Linked DNA regions of Macaca fascicularis. The protein of the gene in region 2 purifies or fractionates together with the protein of the main gene of each other region. This does not show direct contact. Links are inferred from orthologs where the notes say so. Each region holds a gene or a part of one and is shown on either strand. Other genes may lie near its edges. The genes, in order: ARF1 and PLD1.

The links.
Region 1: the proteins of PLD1 (region 2) and ARF1 purify together in Homo sapiens (affinity purification with western blotting; 3 studies listed by BioGRID, with this or other methods). This does not show direct contact. The link is inferred for Macaca fascicularis from reciprocal best matches to the Homo sapiens genes PLD1 and ARF1.

Annotation. Positions count from the first base shown.
Region 1 is NC_088375.1:85,989,662-85,998,705, forward strand, and holds the start of ARF1 (ADP-ribosylation factor 1), read left to right. Parts: upstream 1-3,331; 5' UTR 3,332-4,079; coding exon 4,080-4,141; intron 4,142-9,044. UniProt on the Homo sapiens protein: Small GTPase involved in protein trafficking between different compartments. Modulates vesicle budding and uncoating within the Golgi complex. In its GTP-bound form, triggers the recruitment of coatomer proteins to the Golgi membrane.
Region 2 is NC_088376.1:83,278,055-83,287,179, forward strand, and holds the start of PLD1 (phospholipase D1), read right to left. Parts: upstream 6,191-9,125; 5' UTR 6,051-6,190; intron 5,496-6,050; exon of another isoform or gene 5,066-5,495; intron 1-5,065. UniProt on the Homo sapiens protein: Function as phospholipase selective for phosphatidylcholine. Implicated as a critical step in numerous cellular pathways, including signal transduction, membrane trafficking, and the regulation of mitosis.

The DNA.
Region 1 (9,044 bases), on a different chromosome or scaffold from region 2:
AGGAAACAGGGCCAGGCAGAGGGGACAGCAAGGTCCTATCCCCGCCTCACCCCCCAGAGACGTCTTTAAGGGTATGAATTCTTCCTGCCACAGGTCTTAGCGGTTGAGTGTTTGGACTAAGTCCTGAGCGTGACGAGAAAGTACTGATTCTGGTGGAGGCAGTGCCACCCCGCAGAATGCCCTGGCATCTTGCAGTATGATTCTCCAGCTTTAGCCCATCTATAGTCTCCCAACAGAGAGAGCCGGCAGAGCAACCATGTGGGAGACAGAGTGGGGCAGGAAATCCAGAGAGGAGAACTCTGTCCTGGGATGCCTGGTGTAGTAGTGAGCTGCCCATCACTGGAGGAATCCAAGATAACATTGCAGTCTGCAGAGGCACCAAAGCGCTTGTTCCCCAAGAGGGAGGGCAGGGCTGGGGAAAGACTAAAGGTGTTGGCAATAAGCAGACTTGGGCATGGAGTAGTCAAGCTTCAGAGGGGTTTCATCCTAGCTGGGTGACATCAGGTACATGTGAGACCTCTCTGAACATCTGTGACCTGGCTCAAATGCCGCACACTTCATAGTCCTGCACTCAGAGGTTGACCAAAGTGCCTGCCAGGCCTGAGGTGGGCTGGGGTCCCCTTCACCTAGCCACAATGGCTGCCTACTAGGTCTCCAACATGGGTATTCCCGCTTCTTTGCTCCAGACAGCTCATCTGTCCCTCTAGCCGCATTCCCTAGGAGGCCAGCCCGTTCCGTTGTTTGGCATCCGTGTCTCTGACCTGGTTCTCAGGTGCAGCCACCCCCAGAAGAGAGAAGCCCAGCCCCACCTGAGCTGGCATCTTTGAGACTGACAGCGGAGGCAGCCACAAAGGCTGGAGGGTCCCTGTCCAGCCTGGCCCCCAATGCCCTCCCTCTAGCCAGCTCATCCCACCCCTCTTGGCTAAACCTCATCTGATCCCAGGGACCTCAGAGTAGAGAGAAAGGGATCCCTACTCCCTAGGCAGTGTTGGGAGAGCACCAGGGCCTCAATTTCCCCAGGAAATCACTGCCTGACACTTCTTAGCTCCCTAGTGGGTCTCCTTCCAGGGGCAGAAATCTGGGTGTGACTACCTGGGCTCCCCTGCGCCTGTCTGGCTTGAAGACATCACTTTTGTCCTGGTGGTGGTGGGGAGGCCAAACCAGGAGCACAGAATCAGCGGAAAGGGACTTTTAAAAAAATTATTATTATTTGCAGACAGGGTCTCACTCTGCCACCCAGGCTGGAGTGCAGTGGCAGAGTCCTAGGTCACTGTAACCTTGAACTTCTGGGCCCAAGCGATCCTCCCACCTCAGCCTCCCAAGTAGCTGGAACTACAGGTGTGTGTCACCATACCTGGCTATCTTTGTAAAATTTTTGTAGAGATGGGGTCTCATCATGTTGCCCAGGCTGGGGAAGGTACATTTCTTAACCCTAGGGCTGTGTATACAGAAATCCATTTTATTACTTTTTAAACTGTGCATGTATCTGACATACACTCTTTCCTGTCTGCATTTTTTCACATTTAAAATAAAATATTTTAAAGGGGCCAGGCACGGGGGCTCACACCTGTAATCCCAGCACTTTGGGAGGCCAAGGCGGGTGGATCACCTGAGATCAGGAGTTCGAGACCAGCCATGGCCAACATGGTGAAACCCTGTCTCCACTAAAAATACAAAAATTAGTTGGGCGTAGGGGCAGGCGCCTGCAATCCCAGCTACTTGGGAGGCTGAGGCAGCAGAATTGCTTGAACCCAGGAGGCGGAGATTGCAGTGAGCCAAGATTGTGTCACTGCACTCCAGTATGGGCGACAGAGCAAGATTCCATCTCAAAAAAAGAAAAAAAAAAATAGAGTATTTTAAAGGAAGGGGAAGCAGGCTCTGGTTCCCACACAATCCCCACTCAGTGACACTGGAGCCACCCCTGGCCATGCTCTGCCATCAGAGAACCAAAGCCAGGTCCCTTCAGCCCTAAAGTGGCCATAACCACATGTATCGCCCATGAAATGTCCGAGCATGGCCCAGTTCTGGCTGAGCGGGAGAGGCAGCACAATCAGAAGGCTCCACAGGCATCCACACCCCTCCCTGGGGCTTTCCAAGAGTATCTGAGATGCCTGTAGGGTGGGAGGGAGACATCCTTCCCCTAAACAGACAACCTGCCGCAGCTTCACAGAGGTGAGATTTCAGAGGGGAGCCCCAGGCAGAAAAAGGGACTGAATTTGGGGGCAGGAGGGTCACCACTTCTGGGGTCCTTCGAAGCCCCCGCAGGTGCAGCCCTGGGGGAGAACTCCGACTATCGCAGCCTGCAGTGGCAGTGAGGATGCCCTGCCCAAGGGGCAAGCAAGGTAGGTGATGGCGGCAGCAAAGGGGCGCAGGAGGCCTGGGCCAGGCCCAGTGACCCCACCCCTCAGGCCCTGCCCCCGGGCCTCCCCCTGGACAAATCAGGTTGATTCCCGACCTCCAGAATACCCAGAGAACTGTGCTGCACGGACGCTCTCCCACAAGCCCAATCCCTCACAGCTGCACAAGGGAAGAGGCAAGAAGACCTGAGGGTGGTGGGCAGAGCCAGGCCTCTGTTCCCTTCTGACCAATCCAGGAGGGCTTCCTGGGAGCGGGGTCTCCTCCGCCTCAACTGGATCTCAGCTGAAAGGCCAGCTCATTAGAGACCGCTGTGACCTCCCTTCTGGGCACCACCCCCACAGCCCCGGCCTCCCCCCGGGGTCCCCAGGCCACCTCCTCCTTTGCTTCATCTGTAGCCAACTCCCCGGCATGAGCCCAGGCATGAGCCCGCGCGAGTCACTGCGGCCGCCGGGGCGCCGAGGCCAGTGCGGGGACATAGCAGGCCTCCCTCCTTCGGACCTTCCGCCGAGGCCCCGCGAGTGCCACAGGTTTCCACAGGGCCGGGGCACACGGACCCGCGCAGCCTGGGAGCCAGGGACCCCAATCCCAGCGAAGGGGCGCCTCGCACCCCAGTCCTCACGCGGTCCCCGAGGGCTCGCGGTGACTGCCGGGTCGGGGAGGAGGAGGGTGGCAACCCGGCCCCGCCGCTCCAGTTGCTGCAGCAGCCCCCCGGGCCTCAGTCTCCGAATCTGCCAAACGGGCGTGTGGCAGCCACAAGGTGTCTTTTCGGAAGACTCACAGGCGCAGGCGCAGACGGGTGCGCACCCCTAAGGCGCGCGCGAGCTAGGACCTCGGCCCGGGGCTGGGTGTCCCCGGCCCCGCCCCCTGCAGCCCTTCTGGAGCCAGCGCGTCTGCGTCGCGGGCGCACGGGGGGCGGAGCTCCCGGCGTCTCCGCCTCTTACCCGACGTTCCCCGCGCCCGCAGGCGCTGACGTGGCCGCCGTCAGAGCCGCCATCTTGTGGGAGCGAAACCAACGCCTGGCTCGAAGCAGCAGCTTCTGAGGTGAGGGCGAGGGGCGCGGGTCGGTGTGGGCCGCACACAAGTTGGAGCCGGCGGGGTCTGGGGACTGGCCTCGGGGCGACTTGAGGTTCGCGAAGGGCACCTCGATCCCGGCGGCGGCGGCGGCGACAGGGCCGGGCCGGGGGCGGACGAGGACGGGCCGGGCTGAGGCTGGGGAGTCGGGGCTGGGAGGGCGGGCGGGTCGGTGAGCTCCTCGCGCCCCTCACAGGTTCCCGGAGTCGCCCGCGGCCCCTTGTCCTCCTCTGCCAGTCCCTGCCCCCGCCCGTCGCCCGGAAGTCAGCCGGGACGCCAGGCTCTTCTCCAGGAAACCTGGGCTTCCTGCTTCCCTTACCTCTGCCCCTCACGTTTCCCGAGGCCGCCCGCGCGTGGAGAGTTGGGGTTAGCGGTCTCGGGGGCCGGTGGGGGTTGTGGGGCCTCCTCCACCCGAGTACAGGCTAGCGAGCGGCATCCGGGCGGACCGCTGCCTCGGGGACCGGGAAACTGAGGCTCAGGCGGCCCCAAGACACCGTCAAGGTCACGTAGGTGGTGGGGGCTTGCACCTTCGCCTCCCGACTCCATCCAGTTCGTGTTTCCTCTGAGGAAGGCACTGGGTCAGGGGCGGTGAGAGCGAGCGGGCGGGCAGTGGACAGGGACCCTGCGCCTTTCCCTGTCTGCTGAACGGAATGCGTGGACCTCCGGGGAAGCCCAGAGTGCCTCCCTTCACAACAGTGAGACGCGATTTGGGGTCAGTATGAAGTCTCCGGTGGCTTCCAGAGGGCCGGTCGATGTTCGCTTTAACTCCAGGGTGGTTTCCTTGACGTTGTCGGCAGTAGATAAGAAGGCCTCTTTTGAGCTGGTGAATCTTTAACTTGCCTGCGGAACGACCTGCTCGTAGACTCTAGGCCGCAGAGGCCGGCCCCAGCGCTCTCTCGGGGCACAGCCTGGGTGGTTACGGCTTGTGAGATTGGGTCTGGACAGCCGTGCGCACCTAGAGTGTTAGATAACCATTCCGACGGCACCTCCTGGCGGACTCCCTTTCCGTCCAGGCAGCCAGTTGCTGCTTTGCAGGAATTGAGCAGAAATGCGCTCGGAATCGCGGGCAGAAAAAGAAGGGAGGTCGGAGTCTTTGGATGGTCCCCGAAGTCGCCGCCTAGTTTAGAGCTGTAGAGTTGGTGCCACTGCCCCTATTGGAGTGGGCAGTTGTATTTCTTGTTTCAGAACTAGTGGTCAGCAGTTTTCTCTGCCGCCGGTTGTTGCAAGGCTGGTGGTTCTGTCGTTTTCCGCAGTGTGTTGGGAGGAGTGTGAGATGCCGAGGTGCGGTTGTGTGCGGCCCCTGTGGCCCTCTGCTTTTGCGTTAGCCATTGTCTAACACGTGTGACTGCATGGATGATGTCCTCATTTAATTTGAATTTTCACCAGCACTACCAAGGTAGCCAGAACCATAAGGTCCTGAAATGCCGTACTATTAGCTGGGTCCAAAATTGAGAAGAATTGAGTAGTATAAATGTTAGTATACACATCTGATTGGCCACATTGTTAGAGGTGTGTTGTCCACGTTTTCACATGTTGGTAGACCGGAGAATATCTGTCACTTGTCTTTAGGTGTATCTTGTTGAAAATAAATCCAAATCATTGCAGCAGTAGGAATATGCTGTTGCCTGTCAGGCAGTTTTTCAGATTTGCTAGTTGAAAAAGATTTGAAACAGTTGGTTTGGACAACAGCTGAGTCACAGAATGACTGTGAGTGAAAAGCAAAAACTGGTTCTGTGCCCCTCACAGTTCTGATTTTGTACATCATGTAGTCTAGCTATGCGCTGTACCTCTTGCACAATATGGAGAGGACATTCAGACATCTTCACCTGCTCATCTGCCCCTACAGACTGGACAGGCTTGAAACCATAGCTTCGAAGATGCATTTGGCCTTTCATTTTTCACTTCAGTAAAATTTAATATGGACTGTCAGCTGCTGCAGTGATCATAGAAGTAGACCTAACTAAGAGAAAAAAACCTGTTGTGCAAGTTCACACGCAAAGTATATGACTGTGGTTTCAGAGAGTTGAAGCAGTTTTTTCTAGATTCTTCAAATTAAATGTCTCATTGGTGTATTTAAACCAGCTCTTACTCACAGGCCATGCTCACCAAGCTTTTGTACACACTTCTTCCTGAGCTGTGACCATTCTCTTGAGCAAGAGGCTGCAGCCAGCCTGGGCTGGCAGGCCCATACTGTCTCTCATAGGCATTCTGTCCTCTCCCCCTGACCTTTCACCTCGGTAAACTCAAGAGGGTGAAAGGAAGTAGAGTGCACTGTCAGAGGTAATTGGGAGAGAAACAGGAAAAGGCCTTGCAGTGGGGATCTTAAATTATGAGAACTTGTGTTTTCTGTGTTGTGCCTGCTCCTCATTGGTGTGGTTGGTTGGTAGGGGTATCCTGCCTGTAGCATCTGAAGTGGTCTTTTGGAAAAGGTTTAGCCCCTTCATGTTGGGATTCCAGGATTTGCCCTCATCCTCAGGTTCGTATTTTCCTGTGGTTGTTATAAACTCTTTAAGGCATAGTTGCACTTATCACCTTACAGCTGTGCAGGTGCCCAGCACCGTCTTGGAAGGTAGTTTCACATTCTCAGGTGGGTCAGATGACCTTGTTAGCAACTTGACAGACATGTCCTGGATGTTTTTTGTTCCCAAGAGGCTCTCAGGTCCTCCCCCAGGGTCCTGTCACTCAACCATCTACAGGGATGAGAAGACAGTAAGGCTGGCTGATTAGCCATAATGTCCTTGACTAATCCTGGTTTCCTGGTTCTCACACAGTGGTAACAAGGGCTTGCAGCCGGTTGTCAGCCAACAGACTGGGAAAGGTGGTGCTTCTTACAGGCCCTGATAACAGGAAAAGCCTAAATGACATCAAGAGAAGAGACAGGGAAAGCATAAAAGGCAGATTTTCACAGGCACAGCAATTGGGAATGATTCTGTTTAGAAGGCAGACGTTCTCCCACACCCCGGAGGCCCAGGGCTCACTGTTAGTGTACAGCATGAAGTGAACGGGAGACTTGATTCAGTCCATGAACATTTCAGGAAGTTAGAAGTCTGTAGTTGTGGATTGCAAAATACATATCTGGCCTGCCTCCCATTTCCTGCCATACAACTACTAAAATACTTGGAATCTCCAAAGTGATGATGTCTTTTTGTACCCTAATGAGTTGACCAGTGACGGGCAGCCCCTACGAAACTTCAGGGTAGGGCTAGTCACGGGGCCAAGGTAGGATTAGAGGGTTTCAGCCCCACCCTCCAATTTCCCCAGAGTGGAGAGGGACTGAAGATTGAGCTGGTCACCAGTAGCCAATAATTTAATCAATCACACTAATATCATGAAGCCACACTTTTGCCTTCAGTAGTTAACAGCATCTACAGCCCCGTGTTTCCACATTTGTACAAAGGAATGTTCAGACTGAACCACACTTAAGTACAATTCTGAAATAGCATGAAATTCCTTGTTGATGGGAAATACCCAAAAGGCCTGCCTGGGCTTTCAGAGAGCTTCCAGAAAGCTGAATTCATGGAGGTTCCTGGAGGGTGGCACGCCCAGGAGGGCAAGGTAGCTCCGTGTCTCTTCCCTCATACCCCACCCTATGCATCTCTCCATCTGTATCCTTTGTAATATCCTTTATGAAAAACCAGTAAACTTTAGTGTTTTTCTGAGTTCTGTGAGCCACTCTAGCAAATTAATTGAACCCAAGGGGAAGGAGTTATGGGAACCCTGATTTATAGATGGTTGTCCAGAAGCACAGGTAAAATAACCTGGAGCTTGTGATTGCCTCCAGGTGGACAGTGTCAGGATTGAACTGAATTAAAGGACACCTATCCGGTGTCTGCTGCAGAACGCAGAACTGGTTGCTTACTTGGCATGTGTGGAGAAACCCCTGCTCATGTGGTGTGAGAAGCGACCTGTGTTATAAGAGTGTGTGAGAAACTGAGTTTGGGTTTTCCTGTGTCCTCAAAATAGTGTGTTTTGAAAATCTTCTAGGCAGAATGTATTAAAATAGTTTTTACTCCCTGAAGGGATGCCAGCAAGCTAGAAAGATTCATTTCCAAAGGACTTCCAGTGGTAGCATGGCTAGATATGAGACATCTTTCCATTTGTGTCACACAGCAAGTTATTTTTGCAGTACCATATACACTATACGGGAAACTTTTAAGTATTTTATAGGTTTGATTTAGGTATAAATGGTCAAGAGGACTATTGCTAGATGATATCTAGACTTATCCTGAGGATTGGGAATGCAGGCAGTTAGATGTGCCTGTGCTTCGTATCTTCTGTAGATGGGAATGCAGTTGCTCACTCACTAATCAAATTTATTGATTTATATTTAAAATACTATGAATACATCTGGCAGTTTTGGTGGTGACATATTCCTTAAAATATTTGTATTAACCAGGCACTGTGGCTCACACCTGTGTAGTGCAATCTACTTGGGAGGCTGAGGCAGGAGAGTGGATCACTTGAGCCTAGGAGGTCAAGGTTGCAGTGAGCTGTGATCATATCACTGCACTCCAGCTTGAGTAACAGAGCAAGAATCTTAGCTCTTAAAAAAAAAAAAAAAAAAAAAATGTATACCTACTCACCAGCTGAGGACCTGGGGGCAGGTTTAGAAAACAGATTTTGAACATGCATCCCTCTTGTGGTGTCTGACATCACTGAGCTGCCACACTTTTTTACCTTCAGCATCTTCAACCCCATTTTTCCACATTTTTACAGTCAAATGAATGTTCAGACTAACCCACACGTGAGTACAGTTTTTAAACAGCATGAAATTCCTTGTTGACATGATAGGTTTTTCGTGACAAACTTAATTTTTAGGGAAAGCACATCTGCAGATGTATACAGTTGATCTTCATGAGCCCTAGGGGCCTGATAAACATTCCTTTGCCATTGTTTTCTCCTCTCCTTGGTGGTGAGTCACTTGTGCAGTGCCCGGCGGAAGAGGGTGGGAGGCTGGGGAGGAAGGCCTGTTCTGGGCAAAGGAAGCCCTACTTGATGAGCATGAGGCTCCACGGGGGCAGGGGCTGTGACAGTGAGTGCCACACAGAGCCACCCACACTGGTGGAGGGAAGGCAGGGAGATACCAGGACCATCCGGAAGGGGCTAAGTGTCATTTGACAGGTGCCATGTGAGCAGAGAAGTGGAGTGGCCTGGGACAATCAGGGCAGAATCCCTGAGGCGGATGCACTGGCTGAGTTTGGAGACCTGCCAGGAACAGGGTGCATACTGGGTGGGAAGCCTGCTGGGGTGTGCAGTGGCCCTCAGAGGGGGTCTACGATCCCCAGAAAAAGGATTTGGGGAATCTGGGGGGGCATTTTGGGTGGCAGCACTGGCACCTTTGGCAGTGGCAAGAACACTTCCTGTCTGACCTTCATGTAGGGGAGGTCATCTAATGTCCCAGATGACCTAGACCTATGTCCTAGACCTGTTATAAATATGAAAAAAAAAAATTTTTTTTGTGCATAGTTTTAACAGGTGTTCTGAAGTTTCAGGAACAGAATCACCTTATAAATCAAAGATGATTGTATATTGTTCCCTTCAGAATCATAGCAAGAATTCGGTTTCCAGAAGGAAAAACTACAGTAGTTGCTTCATGGACACAGCTTGCTCTTGAG
Region 2 (9,125 bases):
AACTTGGGCAGAAAAAGATCAATGAAGTGAGTACAGCTGTTTACCCAAAATGCCACAGACTGTCCATTCCACATCTACACATTTTATTTTTAAGAATAGTTAAATGGCACCATGGAGCAAATAAATAAGTACAACATTAATTATAAAGACTTATTTTCTGGAAATACCTATGTATTTTTAACAAAATGGATTACACCTTCTCCCTTCATCCATGTACCCTGTCATTCAGCTCACATCTATTGTACACTACAATGGACACTGTAGACACAAAAATGACAAAAACACAGTCTGTGACCTCAAGAACCTTGCCCTGTCACAGGGAAGACTGTCAATAGAAAAAATAACGGCAAATCCAGTGATTCTAATATCACACTACATATAAAATCCACCCACGGAAAGTGGCATAAACCAAACTAGACTAGACTGTTATGAAGATCCCAATCAGGGGCCAAGAGTTCCCTTGTATCTTATTGTCCACATGCTTTGTTGATTAGCAACAGTTTAAACATTAAGATCCCATCAAGATAAACCAAAGGAAAGATCATTTGCAACTGCTTATGATATTTTGAAGGCATCATCCGGTGGTAACACTCTGAGACGCAGGCTTTTTGTAAAGAACTGACAAAGGTATTAGCTCCATGCTTCCTATCTATGGCTCTCTGCCAATGCCTCATCTCTGCACTTGTTTCTCCCCTCCCTTTCTACGGCTTTCCTTTTCCCCATGTTTATTCCTATTCGCCTTCATCTAAATGTGCCATCTGTAAAAGCCTACTTTGAAAAAGATCACTGTTAAATTCTGAACCCTTATTTTCCTGTTCTTAATATAAAGTTCATAAGTTTACGGCCTTAGAAGTGTCTCTCTCTCTTTCTTAACAAAAGAACTGACTAAACCAAGTTATTTTTATTTCCATGTTGATTTTGGCTGATTTTCTTTTGTGCGTCAGAGGCTTCCAAAAGGTTCCCAACTCTAGATCCAAAAAGTTCAAAAAATGATTGAGTACAGAATAAAATCTTGCCCTCATCCAGAGGGGGAGCTGAGGGTCATGAGCATTAGCAGCAACGGGGGAAGCAATCCAGGATTCTGGAGCCCTAGGAAGCAAGACCTCCCATGACCCAGTCGGCCATAACGTGGGCCCTTATTTAGTAGATTAGCTCTAGTATGGTCATAACAATTTTTAAAATATTGAAATGCTTCCCTCTGGATTGGCAAATAACACCCAACTCCTCCCAAACACAGCCCTGGCCTCCCAGACTCTCCCAGGATCCCTGGCCCAATCTCCTTACAATCAGGGAGTTAAGGCCTGGCCCAGCAGAGGATCTCCAGGACCCTGCCCCAGTGCTTCTACCCTTGGACATACCCATGTTCCACCTTAATTTCTTCTTCCGAAAAGTAAAGGACTTGAACAGATTGTCTGAGTTGCACTATAATTGCGATTACGTCAAAGAACAAAGACAAAATGGGAATCAAAAAACCTTAAAAAAAAAGTTTGTTAGGAGGATGGAATCACAGGTTATGTTTTTTTCTAAACAGACAGCAATGTCAAAACTCTGGGTGCAAGCTGCCAGAGATGGATCCCCAGCTCTGCCATGAGCTAGTTGTGGGATCTCACTATGCCTCAAACTGCCTCATCTATAAAATGGGCATAGGCCAGGCACAGTAGCTCATACCTGTGAATCCCAGCACTTTTCGAGGCCAAGATAGGAGGACCATTTGAACCCAGAAGTTTGAAACTAGCCTGGGCAACATAGCAAGACCCCATCTCTACAAAATAAAATACAGTAAAACAAACATAAATAAATAAATAAAATGGCCATAATAAGATTACCTACTTTACAGGGTTGTTTGAGGGTTAAATGTATTCATGTTTGTAAAATGCTTAGACAAGTGCAAGGCACAAAGTAAACACCATGTAAGTGTTTATTAAATAAATAATTGATTTTATTCTGCCGCTGTAATGTTTGCTCAATAAATTTAAAAATTAAGAAAGTTTTGCAATAGGAAAAAAACCTGTGATACTATGAAACACTTATATAACATACACTTTTGCTTAATAACCCAGCACTAAAACAGCTGGGGTCCAGATTTTACACTGTAGTGTGAATTTAGGGAAACTAACACACTGGAATGTGTTCCCACTGAAGCATAAGATGTGATTTGTATGATTCTCTTTGTAACCAGAAATGTCACAGGCCTATGGGAAAGTTAGGTTTACATGTTTCTCGTTTTAACCCTGCGACAACTTTTAACCGCACCCCCCCAGCAAATACATTTTATTTTGTGGTGCTCAGACTTAAAGGATTGTAAACATAAAACCAGACCTTGCAAAGTTACAGCTTTTCTTGTGAACACAATGACTCAGCCTAACTACAAGTTTAAAGAGACATATCTTATGTGTTGGGTCCCGTAGTATCAATCTTTAGTAAACACCTGGGATGGACAGGAAATTGCTACATGTAGTTTCAAGTTTGATCAACATTGCCTTTAGTTACTAAGAAGGCAACATTACCTGAGTTCAAGCATAATTTAGATAGGTACTATTGCACTGCTAAAGACAACAACACTGACAATTGCCATTTTTCTGATAGATACTCAGGAGAGGAAATGATCAATAACAGTAACTGCCTTACGTGTTCCTTCCTCTTGATAGCTAAACCCCACAATACCCTTAGATAAAAGTTTAAATACATCACAAGTTTATTTTCAAACAGTAACGTATTAGGCCTTTCCGGCTGTAGATAAGATTTGTTAAACAGTCTGTTTATGGCTTTTTACCTTTTCTCTTTTAAAAGTGCATTTCTTGGCTGGGTATGGTAGCTCATGCCTGTAATCCAGCACTTTGGGAAGCCGAAATGGGAGGATTGCTGGAGCCCAGTTATTCAAGACCAGCCTTAGCAACACAGTGAGACCTCATCTCTACAAAAACAAACAAACAAACAAAACTGGCCAAGGGTGGTGATGCACACCTATAGTTCCAGCTACTCAGAAACTGAGATGGGAGTATCACTTGAGCCTGGGAGGTCAAGACTGTTGTGCCACTACACTCCAACCTGGGCAACAGAGTGAGACCCTGCCTCAGAAAAAAAAAAGTTTAAAAGGTGCATTTCTCTAAAGCTACGAGAAGGAACTCAAACCTTGCTTAGTGATAAAACTAAAGCCTGCAACACAACCATTATCATTAAAATGTTATTAAAACCCTGTAAGAAAGATGAAGAGTCTTGTGGATGGATGGTGGTGACAGTAGCACAATAATGTGAACGTATTTAATGCCACTACATGCACACTGAAAAATGGCTAAAATGGTAAATTTTATGTTGTGCATCTTTTACTACAACAAAAGTGAAATTAAAAGAAAATTTTTTAAAAAAAATCCTGTAAGAGAACATTTATATACTGTTGGTTGGAACGTAAATTATTTCAGCCACTGTGGAAAGCAGGTGCAGATTTCTCAAAGAACTCAAAACAGAACTACCATTCAACCCCGCAGCCCATTACTGCGTATATATCCAAAAGAAAATAAGTTGTTCTACCAAAAACACACACACATTCATATGTTCACCACAGCGCTATTCACAATAGCAAATGGAGTCAACCTAGATGCCCATCAACTGCGGACGGGATAAGAGAAAATGTGGTCCATATGCATCATAGAATACCATGCAACAATAAAAAATAACACAATCATGTCCTTTGTAGCAACATGGATGCGGATAGAGGGCATTATCCTAAGCATATTAAGGCAGGAACAGAAAATCAAACATCGCATGTTTTCACTAATAAGTGGAAGGTACTACAGCTGCTGGGGAGGCTGAGGCAGGAGAACGGTGTGAACCCGGGAGGCGGAGCTTGAAGTGAGCCGAGATCGTGCCACTGCACTCCAGCCTGGGAGATAGAGTGAGACTCTGTCTCAAAATAAATAAATAAATAAATAAATATATATATATATATATATATGGTAAACATTGGGCACTTATGGATATAGAGATGGCAACAATAGACGCTAGGAACCACTAGAGGTGGGAGGGAGGAAGGAGAGCAAAAGTTAAAAAATTATCAGGTACTATGCTCACTACCTGGGTGATGGGATCAGTTGTACCCTCAACCTCAGCTTCATGCTACATGTCCGTGTAACAAACCTGCACATGTATCCCCGTATCTAAAATAAAATTGGAAATTTTTTTTTTTAAAAATGACAGTCCTACTTTTCCTTCGGAACAAAAATAAATTTAAAACCATGTAAGAGTTAAAGGTAAATAAAATTTGTAACTATGTTTTTAATTAAGAAACACTAAGTAATCATACAACTTTCAAGAAGCACGGTTCCCCACCACCTAGTTATAAGTAAGTCTACAAACCTAAATGAGCGTTGTACAGCACTTACTATAGTTCATAATTATTCTGTCATCAGGAACAAACATTGTAAAGACATTTTTTCCTCAAAGCCTTAGTATTCTTTTTTTTTTTTTTTTTTTTTTTTTTTTTTTTTTTTTTGAGACAGACTCTCGCCCTTTCAGCCAGGCTGGAGTACAATGGCATGATCTCGGCTCACTACAACCTCCGCCTCCCGGGTTCAAGCGATTCTCCTGCCTCAGCCTCCCGAGTAGCTGGGATTATAGGTGTGTGCCACCACGCCCGGCTAATTTTTGTATTTTTAGTAGAGGCGGGGTTTCACCATGTTGGCCACGCTGGTCTCGAACTCCTAACCTCAGGTGATCCGCCCACCTCAGCCTCCCAAAGTGCTGGGATTACAGGCGTGAGTCACCGCGCCCAGGCAGCATTCCAACTTTTTATATGGATTGTTAACTGTACTGGTTCTTGAGAAGCCAGACTGGGCGCTTATACAATTAGTCCAAAGATCCCCAAACAACATTTAAAGGCTGTCTACAAATTCAAGCTAAAAGACTGTGTACAAATTCACTTGTGTGTCACAAAACATTTAATATCGAAAGAGATTCTTATTCAAATAGGCAGTGTATAAATGTGGTGTCTGTTAACAGTTCAAATGGCAGATTCCTTTCCTTCTTTAAGTTTTAATTGCAACACCACGAATTAAACCATTTAACATACCTCAGAGGTCTCTGGGTACCTAGTCTCTCAGAGGTCTTTGGAGGCCCACAAAGGCTTATCTTAACTAAAATTGGCAGGGCTGGCTGATAAAGTTAACGGAGCTCCCCATTCTGGAGACAGACTTAGTGATAGTCAAACGAAGAAACTGTTGTGGTCTGTTCTTAAAAAGCTACTCGTATTTAGTGCTTCACAGAGGAAGTAAAGAAGGCAATAATCCCAGATGAGGAGGAGCAAACACAGGCGTGGCGGTAGTTCAGGACTGAGTCTACAAGGGCGGTTCTCAAGGGCGTCACAAAATCCTTTGGAAGGCTTGGAGGACCGCACTCCTGGATCTGAGCCCTAGGTCCCAAATACCTTGAATCGTACTGTGACGAACAAGACCCTTTACACACGCCCTGCTGCTCGCCCCCGGGCCCCCCGCCCCGCCTCCGAGTGGTCACATCACATGGCTGGAGGCGCGGACACCCGCGGCTGTGACCACACCCCCGGGACCGTGCTCTGAGGGCTGGGCTCGAAGCTTTGGGACGCGGCACTTCCTGGTTGGTACGGGATGCTGGTCCCATCGCCCCCACCAGCCCAGTCATGCCACCGCGCCTCCGAACCAAGGGCGCCCGGATGACCTGGGGACACCACACACACTGCACCCGAAGCCCCGCGCCGGCGGGGCGGTGCATCCTGCAGAGGACGCCCGGGCTTCAGCCTGGAGCCTGCGCGGCTCTGCGCTCCAGGCAGCCGCCCGCGCTGCAAAAGTGCGTGCCTGAGTGGTCAGCTTTCACCCTGCAGGAATTCCACCCGAAGCCGTGCAAGGGAGGCCCTTGGGGATCGCTGGGGAGTCCGCTGCCGACTCACTCACTGAAGTCCCGTCCAAGTTGGGCGGGGAGCGGCCAGTTGACCGGGTTGGGAGCCAGAAGGGACTGAAGGCGAAGGCAGGGGAAACCCGGCTCCCACAGGCGCCGGGTGATGCGGGTCTCGGCGCGGCTCCTACCTGCAGGGCGAAGGGGCCGCTAGCACCTGCGCGTTGGCTGCGGACTCTCCAGGCCCGCGTGCCTCTGGCACAGCTGGAGCTCAACCGGAGGGAGGCGGGCGGGAGGGTGCTCTGCGCTGCGCGGCCGCCAGGAACTCTCCGCCCGGATTCGCCCCGGATTCGCAGGGGTGGAGCGAGGCGGTGCCGGGTCCTGGGGCGTCGCGGTGCAGGCTGGCGGCCCCAGCGGGGCGGGTCTCGCGGCTGGGCCTCTGATCGCCCGCTTTCCTTGTTCTCTCTTTTCCCAAAGTTTCATGACTCGACCGCATTACACTAGGGCATGCTCGCTAGCAGGACCATTATCAGGTCCTCTTGAGCCGCCAAGGGCCAGCCACCGTTGCCGGAGCTTTGCCTATCATACCTATTCCTCGACTACTGCGGATAGTAGCCACAACTGGTCCAACTTGTAAGTAAGGAATCCGCAAATCAAACGGCTAAATAAATTGCCTGAGGCGACATAATTAAGAGACTGGAGCTTTGCTGGCGTCTTTATAAGACTTACACCTCCTTAGGGAAGTGTTAACGCCAACTTACAGGTAAGGAAATGAAGGCTCAGAATCATGAAGTAACCAGCCTGAGGTCACACAGCTTAGATGGAGGGGGACGGGAATTTGTGTCCCGATGTCTCTAAAACTGGGTGTAGTTCAGAAATCTTAGTATAAAATAATAAATTGGGAGCAAAACAAGGAAAAGACCCAGTCTACCTATGGAACTGTTCAAACATGGCAATTTTGCTGTTTTTAGTCCACTTAGAATGAAGTCTTAAGAAAAAGAGAACCAGTTGTCATGTGGCTTGAATAAGCAGCCCTTTGGGAATGTAATTTTGAATATAGGCCAGTTCCAACCTCATTACACAATATTGCATCCCGCCAAAGCCAAGGGAAGCAATGGCCTCCCCATGCACCAAACTGCTAATAACCTCAGCCACTTTAAAGCATTTAGTGGATATTACACACCGAGACTGGCCAAGTTACATAATGTCTTACTGCACACATGGCATTACATGAAATGAAAAATATAATATACCAGTCCAAATTAGGGGAGGGGGGCCAAATTATAGTCTGGAACTCAGTTTTCCTGTAACCTACAGTTGCTCAGCCCTCCTTAGACCACGTTTTTGTCTCTTGAGCACATCTTTTCCTAATGATAGAAGAGTCATACAGCCCTCACTCTTTCCTTGTTGACATAAATGATTGATGTCTTTTGAATCCTATGATACTGACAGGTTTTTACAATTAAACACATGGCTCTCTGAGCAGAGTATTGCCTAAGAGGAGTTTAGCAAGTTTCAGACAAGCATGTTACTGGAAGGCAGAATACCCTCTCTCCTCCCCTCTTTCTCAAGCTTTATTAGTCACAGATGGTCTGATAAGTCTTGTGTACACACGTAACTGCATTCTTACAAGCTTGTCTTTAGAAATTATAATGCTTTTGGTTGAGAAGCAGCAGCCTATAAAATTGCATCCCAAATTCTTAAGTGTCACTATGAAAACATTTGGCACTTGCCTCCAACAATAGGTCTTTCTACTAAATCTAATTAGAAATAAAATTATCTAGGCCAAGCGCAGTGGCTCACGCCTGTAATCCCAGCACTTTGAGAGGCCGAGGTGGGTTGATTACCTGAGGTCAGGAGCTCAAGAACAGTCTGGGCAACATGGCCAAACCCCAGCTCTACTAAAAATACAAAAATTAACCGGAGGTGGAGGCGGGTGCCTGTAATCGAAGCTACTAGGGAGGCTGAGGCAGGAGGATCACTTGAACCTGGGAGGAGGACGTTGCTGTGAGCTGAGATCGTGCCTCTGCATTCCAGCCTGGGTGACACAGCAAGACTCTGTCTCAAAAAAAAAAAGAAAGAAAGAAAGAAAGAAAGAAAATTATCTAAGTGCCCTTACAGTAACTGAATTTCTGCCTCCCTGGGATAGAGGAATAAAAGAGGAAATGCCATATGTTGTTTAGAGATGAACTTAAGCTTATGGACTCCCAAACATAAGTTTTAGAAGTAGTATAATTTTGTATGTAATTATTTTTATTTTACTGAGAGATTTTGTGATTTTTCTTCCAAATCTTTCGTATCTTCAAATATGTCAAGAAACGATGACTAAGTAATCATGCTATACATTCATCTCAATATGCATTTGACATTTTTGTCAAAGTGGTATTTGAAATCCTGTTGTTATATTTTCTTCTGAGAATAAAAACAATATATGTTCATTTTTATAATTTTGACATCTATATTTTAGAAAAAAAGGACATCTATGTTTTAGAGACCACAGAAAAACATTTTTAATTAAAATCACCTATAACTCCCCCACACACTCTCTATTAGCATTTAGTATATTTCCTTATGTTTTCTATGCCTAAAGGTTTGTTATAAAATTAAAACCGTGCTGTACGGAATTTAGAATCTTCCTTATCTCACTAAGTATTTATAAATGGAGTATTATTTACTGTCACTAAATTTTCTCTAAGGTATCATTTCTATGGTTGAAGACTATTACAATCACTTATCAAATGTTTTAGGATATTTTCAGACTTTATTGCAGTTTACAGATCATGCTGGAATGAACACTACGTTGCATCATCTTTGTCAAGATCTCTACATTCTTAGGATAGATTCCTAAAAGTAGAAATACTGGATCAGCATTTTTTAAAGGTGCTGTGTGAGGCTGCAAAATTACCTTCCAGTATTAAATGTTGCCTTGCTTGTAACCTGAAAATGTCATGAATCAAAATCATATCTTGTTTTAATCAACTTGTTTATAGTCAGTAATGCTAAACACTATTTTTTCATGTTATTATTTGTGCCATTTACTGAAAATGATCTATTCATGTCCATTGTCTGTTCTTTTTCTATGGCAAATTAGTTTCTTGTTAATTTGTAATAATGCTTTCAACAGAAACAGAACTATTTTATAATAGTTACATACTAATGGTGCTCCCCCAGATTTTCCCTTGTGGTACATTTTATACAAACACTGCCATCCAGATCATCTGGGTCATTTTGGGATACCAACATCGGTCATCTTTTCTGACAGTTCC